3 linked regions of the Arabidopsis thaliana genome follow. The protein of the gene in region 1 purifies or fractionates together with the protein of each later gene. This does not show direct contact. Each region holds a gene or a part of one and is shown in the gene's direction. Other genes may lie near its edges.

Region 1 (11,123 bases):
GGGATTAACATCAGTGGTCACAAACGAGCGTCTCCAATCACAACCCAATCCATATGCCCTTAGATCTTCAACAGCCAAAGGGGGAAAGTAATACAACCATTCAGAAGGCTCTCGGAAATTTGCAATCTCACTGTCAGTAAGACCAAAACTGCGCATAATCTCCCACTGATAAACCTGTCCACCAGCTTTGGCAGCAACCTTAGACTTCTTTCCCTTGAACTGACCCGGAATCGGTAAAGCTATAGTATCACTGCTCTCCTCCTGAACTTCAGGAACTTTGGTGGTGTCTTCAGCAGTAAACACAGGAGGGTTACCAAACTGTTCAATCTCACGACGAAGCTTATCCGCAGAAGCCTTAATTGGCATACCAGTACAATGGAAACCAAATGGAAGAAGCACATTAGCTCCTCTTAGCCTATGGTAAGCAGAAGCAAAATCAACCTTGGACAATGAAAAGGCATGCCCAATGTGTAGATAACCATTCATATACGGGAAAGGGAAGGTTGAGAAAAACTTTTCTCCTGGTTTTGGAAGATTCTCACAAGATTCGGCTCTGAATACATCCTCGTCTTCCCACCACTTTCGAACAGTGGCCTCAATCTCAAGAAGACGATCTCTCCTAGCGTAGCTTTTCGATTCCGATGCCATTAAGTGACAGTGCCTACCCCAAAAAAACGCAAACCTCTAATTTAGATATCGGCTTCTTAAGTGCAACACAAAAATCGGTAGATTGAGTCTACCAGCTTGGGGAGAGAATTACCTTAGGGATGATGAACTTTGAGGAATCACGAATCGAGCCCACCGCGAAATCGATCCGAGATTTGACAGAGACAGAGCCAGTGGGAGAGATAAGTAATGGTTTCTAGGGTTTTTCTTTAAGACTACCTTCTTCAGTCTTTGGATTCGACGGCTGATTATTAAACTGAACTAGTCTCGCCAAAACCGGATCCAAGTCAAACCCATTTAGAATTTGGGCCACATCCACTAAAAGGCCCAGATATTTGGGGACTTCAAAGTTTTTTTTTTTTTTTTTTTTTTAACTAGTAGACGTTCAATTTCTTTTTCTTTTTTTGTTTTTTTTTTTTTGTTAAATAATATTCATGTTTTCTTTCTCCTCCCCTTTTCAAATGTTACTGGTTTTTTATTGTGCGATGCTTATGTCGTATATTATATATGGTGGATTGTTTAATGGTATAATTTCATTGTATTTGCAGAAATTTAGATTTGCATGAAAAAAAATGTTGAGAAATTTGAGTTACACCTCAAACTTGAAAGATTAGTAATGGAAGCAAATCTAAGAGACTAATAGTTAAAAGAATTCTCGACTTTGGTTCTAGAGAATGTGATTGATTAATCCTTTCAATCTTTCATCAACACCACACAACATGTTTAGTTAGTTATGATAAGATAAAGAAACCATACATAGATAACATCTTTCAAACTCTTTAGATTCTCAAGAGTCTAACCTTTGTTAAAAATAAGAAAACTATATGATAAAAACAAGGGATGCAAAACAAATATATTGAAAATTTTCTTCAAACGAGATTATTATTTGGCTTAGCTTGTGCCTTCTCGTTCGTCTTGCTCTTACCATCTTCTTTCACTGGATCCTTCTTCTCCAAAGTTACAGAAGACGACGCTTTACCATCTTCTTCTATCTCAAGAGGTTTCGAGCACCACCTATCGAGCAAATTGCATAAAACCGTCACCATTATTATTCCTGCGACGATAATACACCATCCCCAGATTGGGATCTCCATCTTTTTTATGTATTTGTTTTCAGTGACAAAGAAACAAAGTAAATTGTTTGTTGATGATTACAAGTTGCTTAAAAGTTGTTGATATTATAGGAGGCGGGAACTACTCGAAAGACTTGGAAATTTACCATTTTGACAAAAAACTTGCTAGAAAATAACTAAAATAAAAGTAAATCATTCTTCTAATTTTTTTCAATTTATCAACTTTAAAAGTATATTTCCTTTTCTTCATAAATCTCATAAACTAGCAAAAAGATAATGTCATAAACTAATACTATAAAATATATATTTTGTTTTTTTTGTTCCGTCAAATATATATTTTTGGTTTTGCCTGTATTCTTGTTGACTTCCGTTTTTTTTTTCCCCCTTTTTTTTAATTAACTTCCTTTCTTTGCTTTTCCATTTCTTCTTGATTGAAAAATGTATATTGTGTGATTTTGTCTACTTTATTTAAATTATCTTTGAAATCGAAGAATTTCTGCTCTATTAAAAATTCAAACTATAGTCTACGTTGGTATTTGTTTATTTCATTTTATACTCTGCTTATTTTTCTGATACTACATTACAACTACCACTCAAAACTACAATTAATTCCCTAAAAATATTTTTCGTTTCCAAAATTTGTTTTGTGTGAACGATTCCGAACTCCACAATTGATATAAAAAATTATCTTTGAGTTATATTATCAACAACAGAAAAAAGAAAGAAAACAAATACAACGCAAGCCTTGAAATAAAGTCTCATAGATATTTGGCTTTTTTTAAGTGCAACACAAACAAAGCCTTTCAAGACGATGAGCAACAAGGCTTCTTAGCGTTTGATTCAGAAGTAGCAGCCACATCAATTGTTTGGCCTTCCTTGATGTTGGCATTTGCAGTTGTCTGGTCTGAAGATATCGACTTCTTGCTGATGATCCTATAAACCTCCGAGAGAATCGTCTGAAAAGCCTTTTCTACGTTTAATGCCTCGAGAGCCGATGTCTCGATGAAAGATAAGCCTTCTTTCTCTGCATAGCTCTGAGCATCCTCTGTGGCAACTGCTCTGAGATGCTTCAGATCTGTCTTGTTCCCAATCAACATGATCACTATATTGGAATCTGCATGGTCTCTTAGTTCTTTTAACCACCTGCTTACATTCTCAAACGTTGTTGGCTTGGTGACATCATAGACCAAAAGAGCTCCAAGTGCACCTCTGTAATAGGCGCTAGTTATGGCTCTGTATCGTTCTTGCCCAGCCGTGTCCCATATCTGAGCTTTCACAGTCCTTCCTTCCACCTTAGAACAAAGATCATAGGTTTTTTAATAGGTTAATTCAGATCTAATGAGCAGCAGACTCTATGATTAGTGTGTCTGCAACAACAAAATTAGTAACTTCGCAGCTAAATTCCACAAACAACCCAGTAAGAAAACTAGAAACTGTGAAACAACAACCATGATTCATACTTCAAAAGAAAATCATGTTCGAGATCAATTTCAGATGAAGAGATTCTTAGATCTGCCTTAAACAAGGTTTTAGATCTGACATGTGAGGGAGCCTTACACTACCACGTACCAGAGTATCGACAAATTTGGGAACATTATCAATAAAACGCTTAAATTAAGAGATACCAAAGCAAAAATCTCGACCAAATGAAAAAAACAGGCACCACACATGTAAACATCAAAATTCAAAACCAAGCCCAAATGTTCCTACACACAATGACTGCTTCCGAGTATTCATACGAACACAGATACGGATCGAATCGAAAAGCACCGGATGCTGCTTAACTTAGAACTAAACCTAGATCCAGCAACATTTCGATTACACTATATACTATATATATAGAGAGAGATGTGTGCGTACTTGGAGAGTACGAGTAGCGAATTCGACACCAATGGTGGATTTGGATTCTAAGCAGAACTCGTTGCGAGTGAATCTAGAGAGGAGATTAGACTTGCCGACACCGGAGTCTCCGATCAAAACCACTTTAAACAAGTAGTCGTATTCTTCGTCCGGTCTTCTCGCCATTGTTACACTTTTCTCGAGGAGTGCTTTAGATTTGGGATTTTGAAATAGAAAAGGAGAAGATGACAGAAATAAATAAATAATTTAATTTCTCTTTCCCCTTGGATCTTCTCTATTCAACCTTCTCGGCTTGTTATTGCCCAACGACGAAGACCTTTTCTTGTCAAGTTGGGCTTACTAAAAAAGCCTACATATATGTAATTCATTTATACATGCTAATAAAAGGGAAAGTAATTAGAGCTTAACCGGAAAATAAACAAAAATCAGAAATAAAACCAAACAAAACCGAGCCAAACCAGAGGAATACACTCAATACAGATTTTAAAAACCCTACTTCTTCATCATCATCCCTTCAACACTCCTTTATAGCTTTTCTCCGCCTCAACTTTTTGCTTCTTCTCTCTCGATTTGCTCTCACGGAAGATTCTTCAGAATATCTGGTAAGATCCATCGATCGAACAATCTTTTTTTCTCCAGTTAGCTCATATTCATATTTATGATCATGTCAATTGCGAGCTCACTGCTTGATTTTTTTTCCTTGGAACCAGATCCGATATCAGAAGCCCCAAGTTCGCTTGAATTCCGTCTGAGCAATGGCTTTGGTGAGTTCTCTATGATTGTCTACTGTTACGATCGCATCATGTATCGATATAATTGTAGAAACGTTAGATTTGTAAATTTTAGGATCTAAGTTTATAGAACGATTGTTCATACACCAAATTGATTAAAATTATGTTAGTTTGGATATGTAGCTACTCTATTGTTAAGTTATTGATTTGGAATACGTATTATTGTGCTGATGATGAATTACGATTGCAGGTCTTGCACACGTACAAGGGAAACAAAAGTGCTGAGAAGGCACTCATTGCAGCAGAGTACGTTGGTGTGCAGATCGATGTGCCCTCTGACTTTCAGATGGGTGTCACTAACAAAACCCCTGCGTTCCTCAAGATGAACCCTATTGGAAAGGTTTGTCATCACTGGTGTTTGCTAAATTTCTGGACTGAGTATTATTAAGTCTATTTTTCAGCTAACCAAGAGTTATTGATCTTGCTAGGTTCCTGTACTTGAGACTCCCGAGGGTTCAGTATTTGAAAGCAACGCAATTGCCCGTTATGGTAAAGCATTCATAACTTTCTCCTTTAATTGTCTCTCAGTGTCTAGTTTGATTGCTTGTTGTCGTTTGGGTTTAATGGATCTGTTGATATCTCAATACAGTAAGCCGATTGAATGGTGACAACTCTTTGAACGGATCCTCCCTGATCGAATATGTAAGTAGCTGTTTTTTCCCTGGGGGCTACTCTTCTCTAATCCATTGACACCTCTTCTATTGTTTGTCATTCTATTTGTTAGTATTCTCAATGGTTATCTGCATGTTGTTTTTTCGCAGGCACAAATTGAGCAATGGATTGATTTCTCTTCATTGGAGATCTATGCAAGTATCTTGAGGTGGTTCGGCCCAAGAATGGGCTTTATGCCATACAGTGCTCCGGTAAGCTTTTTTGACTTTCATTGGTTGTTTCATTCACTCTTTGTGATGGCAATCTAGGTATTCTTTTCACTATATAAATAGTCTCATCCGTGATTGTTATATAAATGAAGGCTGAAGAAGGTGCGATCTCTACGTTGAAGAGAGCACTTGATGCTCTGAACACACATCTCACGTCTAACACTTACCTTGTCGGACACTCTATTACCCTTGCTGATATCATCACTGTCTGCAACTTGAACTTGGGATTTGCTACTGTCATGACCAAGAAATTTACCTCTGAATTTCCTCATGTTGAGAGGTACTTCTGGACTGTGGTTAACCAACCAAACTTCACTAAAGTGTTGGGTGATGTCAAACAGACTGAAGCTGTCCCTCCTATTGCTTCCAAGAAAGCTGCCCAGCCTGCAAAGCCCAAAGAAGAGCCTAAGAAAAAGGAAGCCCCAGTAGCAGAGGCACCTAAGCTTGCTGAAGAGGAAGAGGCACCAAAGCCCAAAGCCAAGAACCCTCTTGACTTGCTACCACCAAGCCCTATGGTTCTAGATGATTGGAAGAGGCTTTACTCAAACACCAAATCTAACTTCCGCGAGGTTGCTATTAAAGGTGTGTGGTGATATCTTCCTCTACCTAGTTTTTCAGCTTTGCTATCAGGGAATTATTTAGCTATTGGAATCAATTGTTTTTTATCATGTCTAATATTGTGGCTCAAATGCAGGATTCTGGGACATGTATGACCCAGAGGGATACTCACTATGGTTCTGTGACTACAAGTACAACGATGAGAACATGGTGTCATTTGTCACGCTCAACAAGGTTGGTGGGTTCCTTCAGCGTATGGACTTGGCACGTAAATACTCCTTTGGAAAGATGCTGATTTGTGGGTCAGAGGGTCCGTTCAAGGTGAAGGGTTTATGGCTGTTCCGTGGACCAGAGATCCCAAAGTTCATAATGGACGAGGTGTACGACATGGAGCTGTATGAGTGGACTAAGGTTGATATCTCAGATGAAGCCCAGAAGGAGCGTGTTAGCCAGATGATTGAAGACGCAGAGCCATTTGAAGGTGAGGCTCTCTTGGACGCCAAGTGCTTCAAGTGAGAAGAGAGAATGGTTTGGTACTTCCATTTACAGGTTTTGCAGCTGGGGCTTTACATATCTTTCTATCTGTCTGTCTCACATAGGGGTTTTGCTCTGTGACGTGTCGCATAGACTGTTTTTTTCTTTTCTAATCGAGTGTCAAGGACAAGTCTTTTTAGTTCTTTGTTAATGTTTCGCCTCCGTCCAGAATTGTTTACTATACCAGTTTTCGAAATCCTGACCGGCCAGTCTACCCTGGCAATAGGCAATACATGGTCTGGTTTATTTGTTTTACGGTAATTTTGCCTTGATTGATTTTCTTTGACGCGTTTCGGTCAACTTATATACATTGGTCTTTGAGTTGAACATTTAGTGGTAAAGTCTTTTTGGCACATATATTGAACATTTTTCCAATTTTAAAAATTGCTGAAAAAGCAAACTCTTGAAGAATAATAAGTCTAGTTAATTTCGTAGAAGAAGAACTGGCATGTTCATCTCGAAATTAACTAACGAATAAAAAAAGGTAGACAACTTAATACGCCACACAACTCTAATAAAAGAACATGTAACTTATGACAAAATAATGTAACATTTGTTCATAATATTTTTCGTATCAGATTATATATACAAATTGCTGATTATAATTATTATTCGCTGTTTGACCAAAAAATAAAAAATTATTGTTTCGCTGAGAAATGTATAGATAATTATATTATACGTTAGATTGGTAACTACCAAAAATATTACTATATGTTAGATTGGTCACAAAATAAGAAAAGAAAGGTAGTGTATATCAATTTATTAATGACGTATTTAATAAAGTTGGTCTCAAGCGAAATGAATTGTTCTTTACTGCTACAAGGCATATAATCCTGTAAAGAAAATCTGGGTGGTCGAATTGTTCTTTTCCCTTTTTCTAATTTCAACATCAAAAGTTGTTCCACCAGAAGAATTTGTTCTCTGCAGCAGTAAAGATCGATCCGTTCTTGCTTACAAGCAGAAAAATCATATCGACAGAGAGAGATGAGACAGAACTCAGCAACTGGTGGTCTTTCATGGCGGCGTTTACTGTTCTTCGCTTCGATTGGTTTGCAGTTCTTCTTAGGTTCGTCTTCTTCAGATCTATCTGATTTCATTTCACTTTTTTGTAGAATCCTCATCTGATTTAGTATTCCTTTGGGATTTTAGGTTCTCAATTCGCTAGATTTATGTTATATTTAGCTCAACTTGGCTCTTTCTAAATACTACAGTGTGTTTAATCTTTACGCATTAGGTCTTTTGCGATCAGGATCGAAACATGCAGATAGGAAGATTGTATTTCTCTTTTGAGTAGATCTTGGCCAAATCACTAACTTTGTGCTTAACATGTTAGTGAAGAGAAAATAAGCAAAGAGGATTTTACCGTTCAGTTCATGGGTTTGGTGTGGTTATAGTTTCTTTTACTAACTTCACTGGATAATAGTTGTTTACCTTTGTCCTAAATGCGAGACCATGTCCTGATTTGAAGAGGTTGTCTGCAAAATCTATTGCTTTTGTGACAAGTATTTATATAATTCCTCAGTTGTTTCATGGTGATGCTGCAGTTGACTAATGAGATATGTATTTACTTGTTGCCTATAGTTTTCAGACATTTAAAGTTCTTACATAAGCTATTTATACAATTGGCCACCATGTGCTTTTAAAAGAAGTAGGCTCATCTCTTTCTCTTTCCCGTAAATTTCTTTAAATGCATGTTGCAATTGATCTTGTTCTCTGTTGTCTATGTGTGTAGCTGTTGTTGTTCCCCTTTAGTCGAATATAAGAAACATGGTAACTATTTGAGGATAGACTGTGTAGCTTTAGCTGACTAGTGAGTGTCTACACGACAAGATTTTACAGTCACGAGTGCACTTGAGGACACCATAAACCTTGATTTTTTTTTGTTGTATATGCTAAGAGGGCATCTAGTAACTAAGTCTTCTGATATGATATTTTCAGGTCTATCGGGTGATTCCAAGAACACGAATGCAGGAGTTAAGACAGAATCTCATACTTCTTCCAGCAAAACAGGCACAAAAGTTATCCTTGTTCTAGTTGGATTTGTGGCTGTGGCCATGTTCTCGTTCTTCCTATACAAGCTATGGCAAAAGAAGAAAAGAGACGAGCAGTATGCTCGACTGTTGAAGCTGTTTGAGGAAGATGATGAACTCGAGGTTGAATTAGGTCTTCGAGATTAAAAACGCAAATTTGTCAACAAAGGCCTCATGTTTGTTTGTGTTCGTTTGTCTGAGCATGTAGGTGGAACTTATCACTTATGGGTATTTAAATTTGAAGTATATATATACGCATACTTTGTTGGGCTAGTAACTGATGTAGCTGTCTTGTCACTAATCATCATCAGTTCATCAATTATCCTCTCCAGACGATTGTTTTCCAATGTTGTACAATTCATTTTTCTTTCTTTCACTTTTTTTTGACAAATAGCGTGAGTTTAGGTTCTAAACAAATTCGATGTAAGTTTAGGTTCTAACCCTCTAGACAAATTAGTTAAGAGATCTGTGTCCCTGTCTTAAGATTCCTAGAAAATTCTTACTCAAACGATTAGATTTAAGAAACAGAAAGTGTTGAGTTTTACTTTTCCTTAGACCATCTCCAATGGAGATTTCTTAACATGTCTTTTTTTTTTTTTTTTGAATTTAATATTAAATTATATTCAAGAAAAAAATAAAAACTGGTTTATAAATGAATGCATACTGTTTTTAAATAGAGTACAAAACTTTTAAAGTAATCCTCAACTTTGTCTTGACGCAAACCATATTTGAAGTCCGCTCGAGTACTTCAAATCACCTCTGCTTTGAATTGTACTTTAATTGTACATATGTGTTTCTTAAATCTCTTTGTTGTCTAATTGTGGCGGACATTTGAAGTAATTTGAATCTGAACCTTAAATCTCAAAACCAGTAGATAATGAAGAGTAAAATAGACACATGGAGAAATTCAAAACTTAAAATGAAATTAATGTTTGTGTTTCAAAACTCAACACATTATACAGAAATTATCAAGTGGCTTGTTCCTCATGTCCCACTGACACACAAAGAAGCTGCAAGCAAACTCCCTCCTCTTATCATATTTTTGTCTGCCTACAAATATTATGGGCAACAACCTTCATTAGAAACTCCCTAGTGTATACCAAATCACAGATGTTGATAATTAAGGAGGGATTAACATTCATGTCAAAAATATGAATCAAACAATCTAGCCTAAACCAAGAGAGAACTAAGGATTACAGAGGAACGGCCACCGAATAAATCCAACAAAAATACAAAAGAAATTGAAACTGGGAAGATATATATTCATCTACATACCTGTTCGAGTTCATTTTCGTCAAAAACGGTCAATTGCAAGAAGGGTTGGTACGGTTCTTGGCTCCTTTCTTCTTCTCAGCTTTCTCATCAAGCGGATACTTTGCTTTATCATGCTCCGGCAACAGTAGAAGATCCTCTATGTTTATGTTTCCATACTCATCAAGCGGTTTATGTTTCCATGTTTTTAATCTTTTTACCATGGATTCATATGCATATGTTTCAAATTCTATGTTTGTAACCTAAACTATTTTTCATTAACTATGAAATATTTACAATTTAGAAAAAAAAAATGTTAAGTAGATAATAGGATTAGGAGATCTGTGCCGCGCGCGTGAGAGGAAGATCCTTTTTCCTTGATCTGATGAAAAGGAAGTGTTGAGTTTTGAGAAACGGAAAGTGTTGAGTTTTGTCTTTTCTATAGAAGATTTTTGTTTTCCTGTTTTATCTATAAATAAGCCTCTTAAATCTCTTCATCAACAATGACTTGTCTGCAATTACAAGAATGTCGAAAAAGCAACGTTGCTTGATGATGGAATCGCTGCCCCACGAGGTCGTAGAGTGCATCCTAGAGAGACTTGATGCGGATCCTCTGCTGAGATTCAAGGCTGTATCGAAACAATGGAAATCAACTATTGAATCTCCATTCTTCCAGCGAAGACAGTTCACACAGCGTCAGCAATCAGGTAATCCAGATGTTCTCATGGTCTCCCGTTGTGCTGATATTAATTCGGAAATAGAAGCTCTTACTACATTGGTGTTGGGTTCATCATCATCTGTCAAGATCCCTACTCCTTGGGAGGAGGAGGAGGAGGAGGACAAAGAATACTCTGTTTCCCAGGATAGCTGTGACGGTCTCGTTTGTCTCTTCGATAAATTCAAATCCGGTTTTGTGTTCAATCCCGCCACTAGATGGTATCACCCTCTTCCTCTCTGCCAATTACAACAACTCCTTATTGCCATAGGCGACGGTTTCTACGATCTTGGATACAGAGTCTCTAGGCTTGGATTCGGTAAAGACAAACTCACAGGCACATACAAGCCCGTTTGGTTATACAACTCTATAGAAATTGGCCTAGAAAACGCTACTACATGCGAGGTTTTCGACTTTAGCACCAACGCTTGGAGGTATGTTTCACCAGCTGCTCCTTATAGGATTGTTGGTTGCCCCGCACCTGTCTGCGTAGATGGGTCGCTTCATTGGTTCACCGAGTGCGAGGAAACCAAAATTCTTTCGTTCGATCTTCACACCGAAACCTTTCAAGTTGTCTCTAAAGCTCCCTTTGCCAATGTAGATGGATTCGATATAGTCATGTGCAACCTCGACAACCGCTTGTGCGTTTCCGAGATGAAGCTGCCCAACCAAGTGATATGGTCATTCAATTCAGGTAACAAGACATGGCACAAAATGTGTTCCATTAATCTGGATATAACTTCTCGTTGGTTTGGTCCTACTCA
Region 2 (10,328 bases), 7.5 Mb from region 1:
GACCAAAGCTCCTCTGATCTTAGCAGGCGAAGCTTCTGAGATGTATAGAGGAGCGGTCATCGAGGCCATCCCGACCCCGAGGCCCACAAAAACACGGCCAACGACAAGGAGGGACGGGTTAGGAGCAGCCGCCATAATGATAGCTCCTAATAAAAAGAGGAAATCCGCCATGAGAATCGCGCTTCTCCTCCCTAATTTGTCGTTCGCCCAACCTCCTATGGCGGCTCCAACGATGGCTCCTGCAACTGCCATGCTCACTATCATCTCCTGTTCCATTGTGTTTATCTCAAGTTTAGTGTTTGCTTGTATCTTTGTATGTTCATGGAACTTGCTTTAGGCGCTTCTTAACGGTAAATACTAAACGGCATGATGTGTACAAAGGGAATGCAAAAAAGCGACATGATGTTTGGTGCTAATCATACTCTAAAACAGAATCCAAACCCTGATGATCTTTCTTTTATATATATGCTTTGACAAACTGTTACAACTAATACCATAGTTTTTAGAGACAGAACAGTTTTTCTCTAACAAGTTTTGAAGTTCTCAAAGTCATGATTTAATTTGTGGCCATGATCTCTTTCTTGCTTCTGAGATGTCATTACTACATCAAACATTTATTATATAAAAAACCTTAAAATTAACCAAAAAACTCATACATAATGACATAATTAATTCCAAGTAAAACAGAACCTGTAACCAAGTATTTCTGTCAACAGACTTGAAATCATCTCTGATATAAAGCAGAGCACCTGATATCACTCCTGCATGTATATACACATACATATGTATATAACCCATCAAACATACATATATAACATATATGCATGAGTGGATAAATTAGAAAACTTACCGGTGTCGTAACCAAAGAGAAGACCACCGATTCCGGCAGAGAAAGCAAGACGAAGAACATAAGGATTCTTCCATGTTAGAGAGAAACATTCTTTGAAAGCTGATTCATCTGCTCCTCCATGTATTATTCCTCCCTCCATTTTTTTTTGGGTTAAAAGAGTTAGAAGTGTGTTTGTCGAATGAAACGGAACTACCAATATAAAGAGTGTGAGTTTCTCTGTTGTGTTGTTTTTTTTCTGGTGAGAAAATGATTAGTGGTGATGAATCAATGGAGAATTGAGATGCAACACGAAGGACACTTACTAGAAAAATCCAATGACTTTTCAAAAATAATTCTTCTATTACTTTTTTTTGGATAACTCATTACTATCTTTCTTTGTTTTTATTTACCTATATTTATTCTTCTACATTTATTTCTAGTGTATTTATTACCTTATGACAAATCTGAATATTGTTACTTTTGTTTTCTTACAAAAACATTATAATATCATAAAAACAAGTTTTTTTTTTGTTGGCTATTATACTCAATATATTAATGGATATTTTCTAAAATATCACACAAGAGTATGACAACATTAATTACGAAATTATATATAGTGACTACATACGTTACATGAAAGCATAGTTGACTAGAATTTTTCAAAATATATATACTAATATGGCATTTTAATGTTTTGTATCTTTTTGACACGTTTATTTTAAAATTTTGGATATACTAGCAGAGAACCAAACGTTATAGGGTTATTCAAATGAAATTATAGTAGTTTGTCCTTATATAGCTATTTTTTATGAAAACATTATTTCGTTACTTAATGTTAGTTGGACTGTTACTTGAAAAGAATCAATAGCAATTTTGATGAAAATGTAAAGATTTAGATCTACTTTTAATCGATAATTCGGATGAAACTATTATTAAATTAATAAAATGTTTTCTTATTGGTTTAAGAATTTTCTAAATTAAGTTCTTAATTACAAATTGGGTTTCTGCTTATGGTATAACACGATGATAGTTTAGCTATATACCTAATTAATTGTACGATCCACTACCAAAACTTTGGTGAAAGACCATTATCATTTGATCATTTTTATATAAGAAAAAAAAATATATGCTGGGATTGAATTGAAGTTGTATATATGATTAGTCAAACACTGGAGTCTGGATAGTATTTACAACTCGTGAATTTGGACTTATGCATTCTTTCTTTTTCCGTTTTAAAGAAAACTTTTTTTCATAATAATTAATCAGTTTTTTTTTTTTAGTTGTAGATATTTATAACCAAAAGAAATTATATAAATTCAATCATGCATGCTTTGAGAATTTAAAAATATGGAATAATGAATATTTCTTTAAAAGAGTATGTGACAGGAAGACTTCACAGATGAAAACTGTTAGAAGGTGATATCGTAGCTACCATTCTATCCATAATACAATAGATAAAATTTTGTCATATTTGAAATTCGACTAAATATTCATTAGTTATCATGTACCATGAGATTTAAAGAACAAATAATTATGAAATTAATCTGATTAAATGTATTATATTACTATATTAAATTATATATATGGTGGGTTCTTCTAACAAAAAGTTTAAAGTTATATATATATATATATATATGTATACATATACCATTAATTATTACATTTGTTGGTTTGTTATCCCTGCATTTGTCCTGATGTAGCACATGCAAGCTAATGCTATGCTATCGTTTTTTTTTTGTTGATCCAATATTCTACCTAAATCACAAATGATTGAAACAAAAAGTAATATGTTTTGGAACTCAAAGTTGATGTTACTGGCGAGCATACTTAGCGAACATGACACTTTTACAACTTTTAATATATTAGAATACGTGATACTTGTTAATGTCCCAATTGGATCATATGTGGACCGTCGTGGAGGATTTCTACACATGTACAAGATAGATATTTAGTGATCTTGGCATGGCGCACACAACGATTGTATGAGGTGAGACTAAGAGATTACAGTAGAATACTAGAGTTCGATTCGATCAATCTAATAATGTCGATTATATTTACCTTAAGAAAAATAAAAATCAGTCAGGATATTTGGAATGATCAGCCGATGAAGTTGATCACTCATCAAATTTTTAAAAAGGGCCAAAAGAATTCTCTATGTCTTTTGTGCTTCGATAAAATAACATGGATATAATTGTTTTAGGAAAGTTTACATTAAAAGTGTTATATAGACAGAAGTTTGAGGATATAATATAGTTCTGAAATTGAATTAAACCTGTATGTTCCGGAAAAAAAAAGTCTTCCTTTAAAATGATTATGAAAAGAAGCATTTGAACCAGAATGTTGGAACTCAATTGGAATCTGAAATCCTTTTTCTCAACAAGGAGGAATTTTAAAAGAAACCAAAGTACATCTTTGGCCAAACTATATCTTGTTACTTTTTTCCCCACAAAATTTATAGCTTTTTGTTTTTACAAAAAGAAGTGATAAGAATATAGAAAAGTTGAACAAATCTTTTTTACAACGACTAAAACATACATGCAACTTCTTAGACGTATCAGAATAGGTGTTAAGAAACTATATAAAAACATATGTATATCATAAGTGTATAGATTTTGTAAAGTGTTTTTTTTTCTTGGGTAAAGGTTTTGTAAATTTTAGTTTTTTTGTACGTGAATGTTATATTTATTTTATGTGATAAATAACTAATAATACTTTGAAAAAGATAACTAGTAAAATATATATTAAAGTGGTGTCTGTTTGTAAACATGAAAACTTGGTATGTATACTAGATTTTCTTGGCGTTATGCATGTGAGATCCAACAAATGGTCTCAACTCCATCTTTAGAAAATAGTAAGAACTTGATATTGCGATTTTTTTTTTTTTTTTGAATAAAATTTAAAATTTATTCGAGAAAACATGTTTACATCGGATGCATCGTTTGTGCCTATAAACTTTTAGATACAAGAATCAATAGAATATGTAGAGAACTTTATTATCTTGAACCGAACCAACAAGACATGCAGCCATTGTAGCGATATTGCGATTTTGCTTGGGTAGCTTGCCATTTTTGGTGATAATATAACTAATATCCACATATTAGATAGTTTCTTATACATTAAACAAATTGGGTGACCTATCATTTTCAAAATGAATTCAATTTATTATTTTGTTAGTAAATGACAATTTAAAAGAGAAAAACTGAAAAAAGTGACAACTAATCAGAGAGGAAAATTGATGAATTTTGTAAGATACATACACATCTAATCTTTCCATAAATCATTCTAAACTACCTTATTAATAATTCTATAGATTTTTTCTTGTTACCACTTTTTTTAACAGTTTTGATTTCTGAGTACAATGCTAATTTATTCCTAACTGACACTCTGGAAATTTGGGTCCATATACACTTCTCATGGTTCACTTAAACATGACTATCTTTCATTCATAGACAGAAGAATTATGAATTGTTTTCTTGATGCTCTATCGTGTAGATCTTAACCGGTTTATTGATTTTTTTTTGTAAAGCCCACCAAGATAAAAGAGAAGGCCTAACTGAGGAGATAATTGGGCCACATATAGGCCCACTAAAGAAAAACCTAGAAGCTTAAATAAGTACCTATGAGAACTCTGCGCCATCCTCTTCTGCCTCCTCCTTCACTCTTCATCTTCAAAGACTGCGCCTTTTAGCTCAGGTTTGTTCTTCGATTTCTCCCGTAAGATCTTTTGTTCTTACGCCTCCTATTAGGTTTGTTTCGATCTCAAAGTAGCCATGGTCATAATAGTATTTGATTGGAAATTCGAAGTTTGAGTATTTTGATCCCCATGATTAGGAACTCTTAAGTGATGTCTTAGTGAATCAATTTTCGATGTTGTTCTTTGCTTCTAATTGTGATCTGTCTTTTAGCAAAATAAAGTTTCGTTTTTGCTGAATCGTTGGGGTTTTAGTAGTTGATCTGATCTTGTCTGCTTTTTATATCAGTGAAAAAGGTTCGAGCTTCGGAAACTATGGCAGCATTCCCTAACCTTAACTCTGATGCTGGATTGAAGAAGCTCGACGAGCATCTTCTCACTCGCAGTTACATTACTGGGTAAGTTTCAATTTCTTAAATTTGTCTTTTTTTTCAAGTGTTGTCTCAATTAAGTTGTTAACATCTCTAATAGATTAGATCCTTAATCTCTACCTTTTTGAACAAAAAGAGTAATAATTAGTTTCCTTTGTGTATGCTTATAGATACCAGGCTTCAAAGGATGATATCACCGTCTTTGCAGCTCTTGCAAAGCCCCCAACTTCACAGTATGTGAACGCTTCTCGTTGGTACAATCACATTGATGCCCTCTTGAGGATCTCGTAAGCTTGATTACCTTCTATTGTTTTCCATTTACTAATGGATTAAAGTTTTTAGCTGTCTGGAATCTGGATTAATCTAATATTGTTTCGTTATAATCATGTTTCTATATACAGTGGTGTCTCTGCTGAAGGAAGCGGTGTCATTGTTGAGGGATCAGCTCCTATCACTGAGGAGGCTGTTGCTACTCCCCCTGCAGCTGATTCTAAGGTATGCTTGATCGTCTCTATGTTTTCTCATAATGTTTTTGTAAAGTTGTGCATTGGGGAGATTTCATATGAATGTGTGTGTTTTGTAGGATGCTGCGGCTGATGAAGAAGATGATGATGATGTTGACCTTTTCGGAGAGGAGACCGAAGAGGAAAAGAAAGCTGCTGAAGAGAGAGCAGCTTCTGTCAAGGCATCTACAAAGAAGAAGGAATGTAAGTTTGGGTTTTGTTCTACCCTTGTAATTTATATGAATGATATGAAGATGTCTTGGATTTCTCATTGTTTTTATTATTCTTCATTAGCTGGAAAGTCCTCAGTTTTGATTGATATCAAACCGTGGGATGATGAGACTGACATGAAGAAGCTTGAGGAAGCTGTGAAGTCCATTCAGATGGAAGGTTTGTTTTGGGGAGCATCAAAGCTTGTCCCAGTTGGTTATGGTATCAAGAAGTTGCAGATTTTGTGCACCATTGTTGACGACCTTGTCTCTATTGACACCATGATCGAAGAGCAACTCACTGTTGAACCGATCAATGAATATGTCCAGAGCTGTGACATTGTTGCCTTCAACAAGATATGTAAGTTTCATGAACCTATTCGTAATTCTTTTTAAGCTGTGATCTTTTGTTAGATAATGTGGTGTGTAACTGTCTATGTTGGATTGAATCATAATGCAGGAGGATGGAGAAAGCTTCAAGGAATGTCTGTGTTCATGTGGTCTGGTTCTTCTTCTTCTTCTATATTCAGTTTCCCAAGTTTTTGTAGACTGTTGTTTTGACTCTGTTATGGCCTGCCATCTCTGATCCATTTTGATATTTAATGAAAAGTGACAATTCAGTATTACGTTTTCTTTGTGTATGACCCATTCTCTGCTTCTTCCTTCCCCTCTGTTCATCGCTTGTATCTCTAGATATGTGTTTCTTAGTGAATCCTTAGCAATTTTCCCTTGTAGCTCTGCCGAATAAAGTTCAGGTTTTGAGCTAAAACTAGTAAACTAGCAAGTGAGGACTGATAAGGGTTTGTGATTTAGAGCAACTCAAGCTGATAAAATTTATACTTATGTATCCATTTTTAGCGTTATATATTTGTTAAACTTGTTTCTCAATCGAGTTAAGCACAAAGGTAAAGTAAGGAGTTGGTTAATCTCTTAGCCTTAGGAAGATCTAGATGGAAGAAATCAACTTCATATACCACGATCGTTATTTCGGTTCTGTGGCTGCTTTGGCTGCAATGTTAGTGAGTAATTGAAACTGGTGTACAATAGAAACAAAAACTCTCGGAAGGAATTAAACTCTCACATATTTGAAACATCTTACAAGTAAAAAAGAGGTATAATTGTATAATCAAAACTTTAACTTAGAAACAAAATTCTTCTAAGACGGTTGTGAACTCTTTTGTCTTGCATTACGATTCAATATCAGAATCAGAATCAGAAGAAGAGGAGAGAAAATCACCTTCCTGAAGACTAGGAATAGGATCATCATCAGATTCCCCTAAGGACTCTATCTTCTTACCAATTGATGCTTCCTCCATCAGACTGTCTTTAACCGCTAAATCCTCTCCCTCTTGAGTCCCACTCACCACTTCTTCATACCCATCTTTGGGAGCCGTAACATCTTTGTCTGTAACCGGTCCTAGAGATTCCTCAGGAACCTTCTCAGGCACATCAGCTTGTTGACCATTCTCTGATGCAACTATATCTGTATGATCTTGGACACTCAAAGACACGACAGTAGCTAAATCATTCCCAACTTTCAATCTGTTGCTCTCTTGGAGAGGTAAAGTCGTGTCTAAGGTTCTCTGAATCGCATTGTTAGAAGGAACATCCGCCTTTGCCTGCCATCTATTGCCTAGATCATCACCATCATGAGCAATAACATTCAACTTATTAAGATTAGGTGTGTTGTGTTTTTCGCTGCCAAAAGAATTGCTCTCTGGAAATCGGTTGCTAAGTGTCGGGAGGCCATCGAGTGGAAGTGCCCTCGGATGTATAACAACTTCAAGGGACATGAGAGCGTGAGCACAGAATCCAGCAACTTTCATTCCTGCCTGAAGTTTACCTGTTCAAAGCCGATATATAAGCATCAACTACTCTAGATCTCTGCGGTTTAAAGCTTAGTTTTAATTCATGCCAACAATCTTAGTTACCTGTTCTGAAAAGCTCAAGTCCTTCAGCTAAAAATGCAGGGCGTACTCGTGATGGAGAAACGAGAGATGCCGAAAAGGCACGGAGTGCTGCAAGCTGAAACTCAACTAGATCCGTCGTAGACTTATTGGGTAAACAATGGTAGGTTTCAGCATTGGCCCATCTCCCTTCACAGGCATTTGTTGCAGTGGTCAGAAGAAGATTATCAACAGACTCTCTCCAGCTATCCGATCCCAATGCACCACCCTGAAACCCAAAAGAAAAGAAGATATTTGATAACCTATCATATTGTTATAACATAATCACAAAGAAGAACTATGGTGATTATAAGTAGGATTCAAGTAACTAATAACTTTCTACTAAGTTTTCAACAGTGTCGACAAAAAGCTGAATTTTGATAGTAAAGAGTTAAAAGAGCTTACAATGGTGAGAAGTGTTTCCAGTGCCTCAAGAGATGCTATTTTCAATGAAATCGGGCTTCTCAAGTGATTGTGAGGGATTCTCAATTCAAAAACAGAATTTTCTGCCTCGACTCCTGAATGCTTCCTTTTTTTACTGCAAGCCTGAAGAAGAGCTCCATTAGTAAGCGAGGGGTTTTTGCTAGATGCCACATCAAATGCTTCTAAACTTGTCTGGTCTAGATCCACAGAGGCATTAATGACAACTTCCTGTGCCAGTTGCATTGCCATTCCTGGTCAGAGAAGTATGTTAGCAGAAATGATCTTATATTTTCATCACATCAAAGGCAAGATCTTGTGAAATTACCTATACCCATGGATTTGAGTAAGGTTGTAGTGATTGAGTAGAGCTTTATCCTCAATTCTGGCAATGAACATTTCCTGAAGTAGCTACTAACAAGTCTCACCACAGATGCAGCATATGGTAAAAGTTGGCTACAAAATGAATCAATATGAGGATGTTGTTTAGTTCCTAAGACACGGGAAGGTGTGGTAACTAGTAACAATCCATTATTTGGAAAAACGAGAATTGCGAAACTATTTTCAGCAAGACATAAACTACCAAAGGAACAACTCCTCAATTGTCAGTGTCAATGAAATTAAGGTCAGGTTTCAGTTGAAATATAATATTTAATGTGTTTGACATGTAAAATATATAGTTTTCGCCAATGAAGGTAAAAACAATCTAGATTAAATAAAGGGAGACCGGTTTACCTGCGGATACTCTTTAAAGTAGCGCACAAGAGTTCCAGAGCAGACGAATGCAAAGCTGGAAGTTCTGCACAAACCAATTCTTGTTGGATCCCTGTCATGAAGGGTGACATGGCTCGAGGTAGAGAGCCGTTCACCAACAGCACTCGCTCAACAAGGGATAACAATGAGCCAACTGGAATATTAATCTGAAGGTTAAAAGAACGAATATCAGAATTTTTCAGACGCAAATGAGATGTCTGGATTACGTAGTAGCACATATCACGAGAGTCGGAAGGAGTCTGCTGAGCAGCAATCCAAACTTTGGACACGGCATAAGCAAGGGCATGCTTAACTTGATGCTTTAACAGTGATCCTTAATCTAGACACCCAAATTGCACACCTATCGATTTACGACTACGTACGAAAAAGCTAACTCTCTCCAGGTCTAAAATTTAGAGGAATCATAAATAATCCAACAGAAAAAGATATCTCACTACCTTGGATTTGTACGAGGTAGTTAACATCGTTGAGGTGCAGAACATAAGTGCAGAAACTCTGGATACAATCAATTGTTCAGAGTTCCATGATGCATCATCCAAACCCCCATTTTGACCTCCGAGGGGCAAAGGAGAGTCTTTTCCAGGAGGAGTCAATCGTTGGATTGCTTTTGTTCCTTTTGTTTCTGCAACGCATGTCACCGTGTTCTCTCAGGGAAACTCTATAGCCGAAAACAAACGAAAAGAACAAAGAAATTAACAAATTACCTTCTTCTAGACCTTGGAAAAAATTATTTAAATGTACGTTTATAGATATCAGCAGCTTTTGCATCATCAAGGACCAGGTGCCCTCGTCACCTTTAGCTTTGGGGAGCAATGCTAGAAAGTGGGCAAATTTCTGAAGGTTGATATAAAAAGAAAGAAGTGCACGTTAATATTTTCTTGCTTAGTTAATAGAGAATATATAAAAAGATGAATACCTTTAACATATTAGAACTGGTTTTCGCCGAAAATATTTTGGAGGCAATAGCGGCTTCAATCTGCAAGGAATAGCATTTCAAATAAACTCAAAGTACACTATCATAGTCACCAGACATTTTTCAAATATTTATGTTACCACCTAGGCACATGTGCGTGTATTCATTAGACTATGAACTGTTGTCAAGTAGCTATCAAAATACTAATGCTAATAAGTTCAGGAAATTAGAAGCGAAGAGAGCTGACCTTGTCATAATTACTGTGGAAGGCAGCAGGAAACAAGAGTACAATTGTACTTAGCAGATGGACAATGCCTTCCTGCACATTCAATACCAATCATTAATGACATGAGCAGAATTAGTGTTGGTCATAACAATTAGCAGGTCTAGTAGGTAATGATTCTGCTAAAAGTAATTCAAATAGAGGAACTAATGCATAACTCTACATGTTAAACATCTAAATCGAAGTGGTAAAACAGTCTTGGCACAAAACCAATAGGAATGATGCTAACTTTTACTTTTATAATTCCAGGTTGACTTCAAGAGTGTTATGGAATAAAAATAATCTTCAAACCGAAAGGGCACCATCTAGAGGACATAATATTACTGAATCAAAAGAAAAACTTAAGGCATTCTTAAATGTGGCACTTACCAATAGTGCTTCTGAAGAAT
Region 3 (9,894 bases), on another chromosome or scaffold:
TGCTGCAACTCCAAGCAGTGCTTCAAATGTGTGGGATTCGAACTCGGGTTTGACGTCTTTCCCAGACAATCAAGAAATAGACTTTTTAGATCTCTTTAGTCCAACTTTCAAATTCAACTTTGCATCTACTACCACTGATTGGCAACCCATTGTGGCTGGACCTGACGAATGCGACGAATCAGTCTCAGATCTTTTGGCAGAAGTGGAAGCCATGGAGTCCCAAAAACGTCTTCCTTCTCCAACTTCGACATTCCGTGGTCCTGAAGAATTATTAATCCGGCACTCAATAAACGATAGCTTCAGTCCCGCAGAAGGACATAGCCCAGCACTAGATGTAAGCAAAGGTGACTCCATGAGCTCCACAAACGATCTTCAAATGCATTCACGATCTAACAGCACCGTGCATTTTTAGTCGTGGGCTCGGGTTCACATAGAGAGAAATCATAACCTGGGGCACAGGTTACCATAGATCATCCAATGTCCTAGATTCGTCTGATCGATGGTGGACTATGCCCTCTTTCTTCTCTTTTTTTTTGCAGGATTATTACAGAACATAAATAAATGGCAGAATCATCAGCAAAAATGAAAAAAAACGAGTGGTGCATATGTAGAAGATGTTTCTTCGCGGTATTTTTGACTGCACCCATTGTTTTCTTCAGTATTTAGGTTTTGTAACGTTGTCCTGTGTTAAGATTTGCACAGACATACCCAACTTCTGTATCTTTTTTTTTTACATTGTTTGTACTTAGGAACAAGTATAAAAATGGGAAGAAATTGTTGTCCATGGATGTAATCAAAACATTTGTAGGGATCATATCATCTTATTATTCTATATATATGATAATGATAGTGTAACGTTTCATTCTTTTTGTTTTGAATGTTTCAAATCTATTTATATCATGACAAGTGTAGGCTCCAGTTTATTCTACTTGTTTTTGGAAAATGAGACGAACTCTATTGATCGTTTCTGGATTTGGAAACTTTTTGTTGTTTCTTCGATTTCGTTTTTGTTGATCTGAGTTGATGGTGGAAGCTACGTCAAATTTGACGCCGTCGCAGAGATACGCGGCAAGCGCTTTGTTTGCAATCGCGCTTAACCAAGCGCAGATCAGCCAGTCAAAGCCATTGGGAATCCCGGCCACCGGAAGTACCGGAGAGCCAATCAGCAGCGACAGTGATCCTATCTCCGATGAGGCGGATCTCTGGGTCCACGAAGTTTCCGGCCTCCTCCGTCCTGTTCTCAGGTGATCTTGAAATCATCTGGAATAGTCATGTTCATATGCGTCTCTGTGTGTGTAATGTATACATTTTGAGCTGTCTCTGTAATTTGCTTTCAGATGTCTTCAGATTGATTCATCAGCTTGGCATGGCCTTGAAGAGATAGCTGCTTCTACTCAGGCTAAGGATCACATCGGTGCGGTATGATTAATTTCTCTCCGTATTTTGAAATTTCGTTGTGAATGTTGAGGAGCTCTTCTTTATTGGATGTTACTTTTGGTTTATTGTAGTTTATCAAGTTACTCTCAGAGGATGTGAGTGATGATGATGATGATTCTAGTGAAATGGTGGAGAAAGAGACCGCCTTAGCTAAAGCTGCTGATGCTATGGATCAAAACATTCGAAGCAGCTCTCTATCTGTGGAATCTAAGATGGAGAAACATGTGGAATTCGAAAACGAATGCCGCGACAAGTATTCTGTTCCCGAGGCACAGTCTGGTGCTGAGGTTAAGGAAACGGAGAGCCACGGGGAGGGTGAAATTAGAGATGGAGGCCACAATCTTGGGATTGTTGAACATGAGAAACCTGTTGGGGAAGTAGCATTGCTTAGCCATGAGAGAAAGATAAATGTTCTTTACGAGCTACTATCTGCTTGCTTGGCAGATAAACATGAGGAGAATGAGATATGTACACGGCGTAGGAAAGGCTATGATGCGCGTCACCATGTTGCTCTGCGGTTACTTGCTACTTGGTTTGACTTTCAGTGGATTAAAATGGTCTGTTTGCTTCATTCATTCAAATTATTTTGTAAATTTTATGCTACCACATAGCATAGCAACCCTATAGTTACATGTTAGCTATCTTGTTGAGGATTTAGGATCTGATGACATTGGGATATTTAGGATTCTCTGTTTTGTGCATTTGGATTGACCTGAGAATCAATTTCTGTATTTTCTAGGAAGCAGTTGAGACAATGTCTGCATGCTCTGCCATGGCATTGCAAAAGTCAAGTGGAAATAAGGAAGAAGAGTCTTTGTCACCAAATAGTGAATGGGCTAAGTGGAAACGTGGAGGCATAGTTGGAGCGGCTGCTTTAACAGGGGGTACATTGATGGCCATCACTGGTGGTATGATGTCTTCTAACTGTTAATATCTCTTCCAACGTTTAGAAAATTAAGAGTATGTGTTTGGAAAATGCTAATTCTTAATCTGTTTTGATTACATATTATGTGAAACAGGATTGGCTGCTCCAGCAATAGCTGCAGGGTTCGGTGCATTGGCTCCAACTCTAGGCACAATAGTTCCGGTAATTGGAGCCAGTGGGTTTGCTGCAGCTGCTGAGGCTGCCGGAACTGTTGCTGGTTCTGTTGCTGTTGCAGCATCTTTTGGAGGTAAATAAAAAGTAGAATCAGTTTTAGATTCCTTTAAGAAATAAAATGAATCAAAGTGATGATAATTGTATAGTTCTTAGTCTTCTGTTTTGTTTCTACATGTGTTCATGAATAGCTGCTGGAGCTGGGCTCACTGGGACGAAGATGGCTAGGAGAACTGGTGACATTGAAGAGTTTGAATTCAAAGCTATTGGAGAAAATCATAATCAAGGAGTTAGTTTTAAATTCCTGCTGTTTCATGTTGAAATCTCTTTGCTCTGCATTGATCTCTTTGTTCTTTCTTTATTTTTCTTGTTGGTGTAATAGCGATTAGCGGTGGAGATCTTAGTTGCTGGCTTTGTTTTAAAGGAAGAAGACTTTGTAAAACCCTGGGAAGGGTTAACTAGCAACCTAGAAAGGTATTAAAATGAATTGTTCTTGTGTATATTTTTTGTGACTATATCATAAAATCCATATGTTTGCTATAATACCTTCTTAGGTACACGGTGCAATGGGAATCCGAGAATATTATTGCAGTGAGCACTGCAATTCAGGATTGGCTTACTTCAAGTAATAATATATAGTTTTATCCAATACGTGTAACCATGTAAATCTATCTTTTTGCTATTGCTCTAAGAATAGATAGTAACATTGACATGAACTTGTTGCAGGAGTTGCTATGGAGTTGATGAGACAAGGTGCAATGCGCACCGTACTAAACTCGCTTTTAGCAGCAATGGTTTGGCCGGCAACAATCCTTGTAGCTGCTGATTTTATAGATAGTAGATGGAGTATTGCTATTGACAGGTAAAATGAAAATATTTGATGAAACTGAAATGCCAAATGTGATGAAACCAGTACTGCAAGTAAGTTTATGTGCTATTATTTTCGTATTATCTTATTTCAGGTCAGACAAAGCAGGGAAGCTTCTTGCTGAAGCGCTTCGAAAAGGGTTGCAAGGAAATAGGTATAATTATTGGATAAATTCCATCATATATCTTTATGATAGAAAGTTGTGCAATTAGTATTTTACATCAGCATGTTGATTCTCTTACATTGGAAAACTTGTGAGAAATTCAGACCTGTGACTCTGGTTGGTTTTTCGCTTGGTGCACGTGTTGTCTTTAAGTGCCTCCAGACTCTGGCAGAGACTGAAAAGAATGGTATTTCTCCACTCAATATTTATCTTTGCTTTAGAATTGACAATTGATTCTTGTCTTTAACACATTTTTCACGGTAGCTGAAATTGTGGAAAGAGTTGTTCTTCTTGGAGCACCAATTTCAATCAAGAATGAGAATTGGCGAGACGTAAGAAAGGTAATAAACCTTCTTGATGAGAGTTCCCTACCATTAACAAGAGTTGGTGTCACAGTCTAGGAAACAGATCCGTCTTTTGGTGTTCTGTATCATCTTATACGAGTTTTTTTATGGGTTACCAGATGGTGGCTGGAAGATTCATTAATGTTTACGCCACAAATGACTGGACCCTCGGAGTTGCATTTCGTGCAAGGTATGTTGAATTGTGTTCTTCGATCCCCCCTTTCACCTGCAAATCCAAACTCTTTTTTCCTTATTAAATTCTGCAGTCTGTTGTCCCAAGGATTAGCTGGAATCCAACCGGTCTGTATACCGGGGATTGAAGATGTAAGTCATCTCATTTACTCTCATCTTCAATTCGTAGGAAGTGAAAATGATAGAAACAATCAGAGTAATCATCATCACATTTGTAGGTAGATGTAACGGATATGGTGGAAGGTCACTCATCTTACCTATGGAAAACTCAACAAATCCTGGAAAGACTCGAACTCGACAATTCTTACCCTGTTTTTCGAAACACTCTCTAACTAAACCCAACATTTATTACTAGGACCATATCCCATTTTCACCCAGTTTCATAGACTAGATTAACCCTCATGACTGCTGAATCAGGTAAAACGAAACATCATTGCCCTTCTTCTCTCATTTTCTCCTCATGTGCGTATATATTATACACTTCCACATTCCCACAATTGTTTACATGAAAACTTCCCTCATTTTGAAACCCTACATGTTCTAATTTTTTACCCGAAAAAACCATCGGAGAAACTATGTTGACCAAAAACAAACAAACATACTATACATGTTGACATAATAAACGAGCTTTTAGTCCCTTGTTGTCTTATTGAACTTTCAACATATTTTTGTAGTTAGTTTTACGTCGTCGCCTTTATACTTTGGCTTTTTCCTAGTTTTCTCTCTGTACGGCGATAGTAGATGATGATGTACATGTTGATAACATTGGCCCTATCTATCAATTTTTATATCACCCAAATTCACAGACGTACATGTGAAAACTAAAATTTTATACTGTTTCGCTTGCTAGAATAATAATATGCAAGAAACGTACATGTGTGATTGTGTGGTTACTGTTTTTTGAGAATTCAAAAAAAAAAAAAAAATCATCTTAAACAATCGAACTTGATTAATTCATAAGCCAACAAAATTGGAAAAAAATATTTTAGTTTATTTTAAGTGTTATAAAAAATTTGATAATTATTTTAGTTATTATATTTGAAAATAGGTAAAATAGGTTCTTAATATGTAACATGTACATTTTTGCATATTTCTAATTCGGTGTCATCCATACAAAAAACAAATGGCAAAAATCAGAATGGATAGAGAATTAATCCGCTAAAATGTAAATGTTAGGCCCAAATTCGGCCCATTACACAAAAATCTCAGAGGGTTAAATACATCACCTTCTCGACGCTAATTCCTCCACTACGTCTCTCTCTCTTGCTCTCCCTCTTCAAGTCGGCTCCTTTATTGCTACAGGTTTGTTGCTTCTTCGATTCAATTCTTCTTTCGCCTCCAATTAGGGTTTGTTTCGACCTCAAATTATGCAACTTTGGGATTATGTGATTAGAATTTAAATTTCGGTGTTTGTGAATCTAAATCTAGTTGATTAGCATTCTTATTGTTGTTCATACGTTTTAACCCAATGGTTCGTCTTTTAGATCTTCTGTTGTCATGATCTGGTTTTATGAAATAGAAAGTTTCGTTTTTGATGAATCGTTGGTGGGTTTTTCCTTACTTGATCTGATCTGATCTGATCTGATCTCTCTGCTTTATATCAGTGAAAAAGTTTCGAGCTTTAGAAACAATGGCGGCTTTCCCCAACCTCAACTCTGGCTCCGGATTGAAGAAGCTCGATGAGCATCTTCTCACTCGCAGTTACATCACTGGGTTAGAATCTGTTTTCTAAGGGCTGTCTCAATTATCTATCTTGTTTTGAAACAATAGTAGTAACCATTACTTTCTTCTGTCTCTCTATGTATGTATGTTTATAGGTACCAAGCTTCAAAGGATGATATCACTGTGTTTACAGCTCTTTCAAAGCCCCCAACTTCAGAGTTTGTCAATGTATCTCGTTGGTTCAACCACATCGATGCCCTCTTGAGGATCTCGTAAGCTCCATTGCCTTCTGTTTTTTACCAATTAAAGTTTTTGTCTAGTGTTGTTTTCTTATAACCTGTCTCTCTATTTACAGTGGTGTCTCTGCTGAAGGAAGTGGTGTCATTGTTGAAGGGTCATCACCTATCACAGAAGAGGCTGTTGCTACTCCCCCTGCAGCTGATTCTAAGGATACTGCTGCTGAAGAAGAAGATGATGATGATGTTGACCTTTTCGGGGAGGAGACCGAAGAGGAAAAGAAAGCTGCTGAAGAGAGAGCAGCTTCTGTGAAGGCATCTACAAAGAAGAAAGAATGTAAGTTTGTGTTTTTGCCTTTACACCTGTAGTTTACGATATAATGATGTCTTGGATTTCTCATCTGGTTTCTTTCTTTTCTTAATCAGCCGGAAAGTCATCAGTTTTGATGGATATCAAGCCGTGGGATGATGAGACGGACATGAAGAAGCTAGAGGAAGCTGTAAGATCCATTCAGATGGAAGGATTGTTTTGGGGAGCATCAAAGCTTGTACCCGTTGGTTACGGTATCAAGAAGTTGCACATCATGTGCACCATTGTTGATGACCTTGTATCTATCGACACCATGATCGAAGAGCAACTCACTGTTGAACCGATCAATGAATATGTCCAGAGTTGTGACATTGTTGCCTTCAACAAGATATGTAAGTTACACGAACCTTTTCTCAACTACTTAGAATGCTGAGATTGTTTTATACGATAATTTGGTGTGTAACTAACTGTTGGATATTGAATTGAATCATAATGCAGGAGGATGGAGAATAGCTTGAAGGAAGAACTGTTTATGTTGTTGTTTTCTTCTCTATATCCAGTTTTGTTACCTGTTTTTATTGTACTCTGTGGGAGGGCTTTTACCAACTCTGATTCATTTTGATATATGTGAAGACAATTCAGTTTTGTCTTAAAGTTTCCACCAAATCTCAAATACGAAAAATCATAAGTTTGATAACATCACAGAAAGTGTGAAGCAAGAATGCACGTATGTTTAAAATAAATACAAGTACGCATAATTTAGTATTGCAAAGAAGATTATGTTTACAAAAATTTCTAACAATCAGAGAATATGAGAAGGCTAGAACAAGGACCTTGGGTGTGACGCAATATTTCTGAAGTCATATCTTTTTTGTATTCTTTAGTTCCCACAAAAAAAATGGTAGGTTTCATATGGGTAATGCATGCTCATTTTGGTTGCTCACTATAATTATTGTGGTCTTGATTTGGGTTATAAAAAGGATGGGAATGGAGATGACTTTTACTTGAGAAAATTCTCGATAGAGATATTGGTGAAAATGTCAAGCTTTGTGGTGTTCTTGTTAGGTTCTGGTGCTGTGTTGTTGTTGAGTTCAAGCTCTGTCCACGGGCTGCGATATAGACCCGTGAGGAGATATTTTAATAGTAGTGATCAATCTTCCGTTTTGGGTTCCAACAAAACGTTTGAAAGTGGTGGACATAACAAAGCACGAAGAGTGCAAGAAGGTGATGTAGAAGAAGGAGGCTGCGAAATCTGCAGAGGAAGAGAAAGAGACTGTGGAGGTTGTACCGGTGGAGAAGGAAGCTGTGAAGGTTGTAATGGAGCAGGAGGAAGTTCGGGAGATGGTGGAGCAGGAGGAGGAGGAAGCGGTAGAGTAGGAAGAAGAGGAAATGGCAAAGGAGATGGGAAAGGACAAGGTGACGACGGTGGAAAAGAAGATTGCAATGACCATGAAAAGAATAAAGGAGATGATAGGAACAACGGTGATGGTGTTGGTATTGGTATTGGTATAGGTATAGGAGGTGAACCTAGCCCTGGATCCGGAGGTGGAGGAGGTGGGGGCGGCGGTGGCGGAGGTGGTGGTAGTGGACCTGGTGGTGGTGGTGGTGGAGGAGGAGGTGGTGGAGGCGGTGGTGGAGGAGTAGGAGATGGATATGGATATGGCCGTGGATGGGGTGGTGGATATGGAGGAGGAGGCGGAGGAGGATGGGGATGGGGAGGAGATAGCAACGGAGGAGTATGGGGTCCTGGAAACGGCGGTGGTTGTTGGTTTCCCGGTTGTGAATATAAAAAGTCAACGAAAGGTCAACACTGATCAACATGTTTAAAGACCGTTTTACATTTATCTATACTACGTTGGTTTTCAATATGGATTCTTTCTTTACTTATTGAGGTGCTTATAATTGGACATCCATTTAAAACAAAATGAATAGTAATAATAATACTTCCATTTTCTCTTCTTTTTTTTTGTTTTTTCTAAAAATGTTAATATTTCATTAGAAAATAAAAAAGTTAGGAATTACAAGAATGTAAAACCTATAGTTTGGTCCCATGGCAAAAAAGACTAAAAACATGGGAGCAAATATCAATTGGTCCATCGACATCAACAAAAATAGTTAAGCTTTTGGAATCAATGAAGCGATACAACAATTTTGATGAATCGCATATAATACACCTCAAAGAGAAAGATAATGCTGTTGAACGGCAAAGGTCGAATCAATGAAAACTTCCATTTTCTCTTGTTACAATATTTCTCTAATTTGAGAAAGACAAAAGTTATGAAGCATAGAATTGATGTGTGTCAGTGTGTGGAGTTGATGGTATGTTAACAAAATGTTTTGATATATCATTTATGTAGGCCGCAAAGAGGGGAGATGCTCGTAACGTTAGGTTGGAGTTGTGTTAAGTAAAGAGAAGTTGGAAAGTAGGAGGATCAAATTAATTAAAACTTGGATTTTATAAAGACGTAGATTTAGTCCTAATTACTAACAAGATTGAGATCGAGGATTCTTGTGCCTTGTCTTGGTCCTAATTACTTACATGCTATGATGTGGTTTCATTTTCAAATTCCATCTAATGTGGTGAAAACAAAATTATTACCAACAAGGTTCCATTGTGAATACAAGAACACATGAAAATATCTACAAAAGTTGGTGTACACCAACTCTCCAAGCTTTCACAAAAATAAACTCATGAATATTGAACTTTGTATTGGCCTTTTTGTATATATTGGATTTTTTTAACATAAAAATCCACCTTTTGTAATATTGTATTTTATTATCTAAAAACGATCAACTAGCAACGGAAATAAATCCACTGACCACTGCTAATATATTTTAGCGACGGATCCGAAGTTTACAGCGATAAGACCGTTATTTGGTGGCTTATAAATTGTAATAACAAATCTGACTATACCGATACATATACTATCTTAATCAGATTAAAAAGTTCAAACCTCATATACGCTTCGAACGACTCAACGGCTAAGCTAATAGAATATATAATAGATAACAAATTCTACATCCGTACAAGATTTTAAAGGGGTGGCAGTGTAGCCAATAACCATCAACCTCATTTATTGGAATTTACTGCTATAGACAATCCCTAATCATGCATAGGCACGTTACACAATTAACATAAATCACGAGTAGTCTTTTTCATATTTAATAATCTATTGGCAAAAAAAAACAAATTATCTATTTTGTTCTTTCAAAAACTATTACTATGGTTGCACAGTTGACATTCTTCTGTGCAGGAACATTTACCACAAATATTCCCAATGGACTCTTCTTATCTAATACGTTGTTTTTATTTTTTAACACCATCTTATATATGTTCATTTATCCACCTTCTTAAAATTATAAACAAATGTTTAAACAGATTCTCTCTAACATAACGATTTACCGAGTTACTTCATCTGTAAAGTATTGAGTTTTGGATAATCTTGAATCAACAAAGTTTTAATAGAGATTATTGCATACGACAAAAATAAAGAAGATATAAAAAAAATTAAGATCTTGGTGGGTTCTCGTAGAATTGTGTACTGCGCATGGACTTGTTTTCTGGACCTTGGTTATAGAGAATTCC

Evidence for each region.
Region 2: the proteins of AT1G09640 (region 1) and eEF-1Bb1 fractionate together in Arabidopsis thaliana (co-fractionation; one large-scale study listed by BioGRID). This does not show direct contact.
Region 3: the proteins of AT1G09640 (region 1) and AT2G18110 fractionate together in Arabidopsis thaliana (co-fractionation; one large-scale study listed by BioGRID). This does not show direct contact.

Annotation. Positions count from the first base shown.
Region 1 is NC_003070.9:3,115,808-3,126,930, forward strand, and holds AT1G09640 (Translation elongation factor EF1B, gamma chain), read left to right. Parts: upstream 1-3,931; 5' UTR 3,932-4,201; intron 4,202-4,309; 5' UTR 4,310-4,354; coding exon 4,355-4,363; intron 4,364-4,580; coding exon 4,581-4,730; intron 4,731-4,818; coding exon 4,819-4,879; intron 4,880-4,979; coding exon 4,980-5,032; intron 5,033-5,151; coding exon 5,152-5,253; intron 5,254-5,363; coding exon 5,364-5,853; intron 5,854-5,965; coding exon 5,966-6,345; 3' UTR 6,346-6,735; downstream 6,736-11,123. Other genes in the region: AT1G09620 (ATP binding/leucine-tRNA ligases/aminoacyl-tRNA ligase), read right to left, coding at 1-648; AT1G09625 (uncharacterized protein), read right to left, coding at 1,536-1,760; RAB11c (RAB GTPase 11C), read right to left, coding at 2,543-3,031, 3,600-3,764; AT1G09645 (uncharacterized protein), read left to right, coding at 7,348-7,429, 8,302-8,540; AT1G09650 (F-box and associated interaction domains-containing protein), read left to right, coding at 10,171-11,123. UniProt on the Arabidopsis thaliana protein: Probably plays a role in anchoring the complex to other cellular components.
Region 2 is NC_003070.9:10,634,451-10,644,778, forward strand, and holds eEF-1Bb1 (translation elongation factor EF1B/ribosomal protein S6 family protein), read left to right. Parts: upstream 1-4,463; 5' UTR 4,464-4,522; intron 4,523-4,809; 5' UTR 4,810-4,835; coding exon 4,836-4,918; intron 4,919-5,061; coding exon 5,062-5,178; intron 5,179-5,292; coding exon 5,293-5,386; intron 5,387-5,474; coding exon 5,475-5,598; intron 5,599-5,688; coding exon 5,689-5,968; intron 5,969-6,063; coding exon of another isoform or gene 6,064-6,065; exon of another isoform or gene 6,066-6,066; coding exon 6,067-6,151; 3' UTR 6,152-6,332; downstream 6,333-10,328. Other genes in the region: INT2 (inositol transporter 2), read right to left, coding at 1-267, 691-761, 851-989; AT1G30240 (proline-, glutamic acid/leucine-rich protein), read right to left, coding at 6,791-7,446, 7,535-7,778, 7,955-8,223, 8,298-8,425, 8,705-8,889, 9,181-9,365, 9,448-9,577, 9,660-9,719 and 2 more. UniProt on the Arabidopsis thaliana protein: EF-1-beta and EF-1-delta stimulate the exchange of GDP bound to EF-1-alpha to GTP.
Region 3 is NC_003071.7:7,866,906-7,876,799, forward strand, and holds AT2G18110 (Translation elongation factor EF1B/ribosomal protein S6 family protein), read left to right. Parts: upstream 1-5,295; 5' UTR 5,296-5,402; intron 5,403-5,704; 5' UTR 5,705-5,730; coding exon 5,731-5,813; intron 5,814-5,917; coding exon 5,918-6,034; intron 6,035-6,117; coding exon 6,118-6,335; intron 6,336-6,424; coding exon 6,425-6,700; intron 6,701-6,806; coding exon 6,807-6,808; 3' UTR 6,809-7,105; downstream 7,106-9,894. Other genes in the region: AT2G18090 (PHD finger family protein / SWIB complex BAF60b domain-containing protein / GYF domain-containing protein), read left to right, coding at 1-412; AT2G18100 (transmembrane/coiled-coil protein (DUF726)), read left to right, coding at 1,024-1,244, 1,338-1,419, 1,509-1,994, 2,177-2,345, 2,457-2,609, 2,725-2,822, 2,916-3,007, 3,088-3,158 and 7 more; SRS4 (SHI-related sequence 4), read right to left, coding at 9,817-9,894. UniProt on the Arabidopsis thaliana protein: EF-1-beta and EF-1-delta stimulate the exchange of GDP bound to EF-1-alpha to GTP.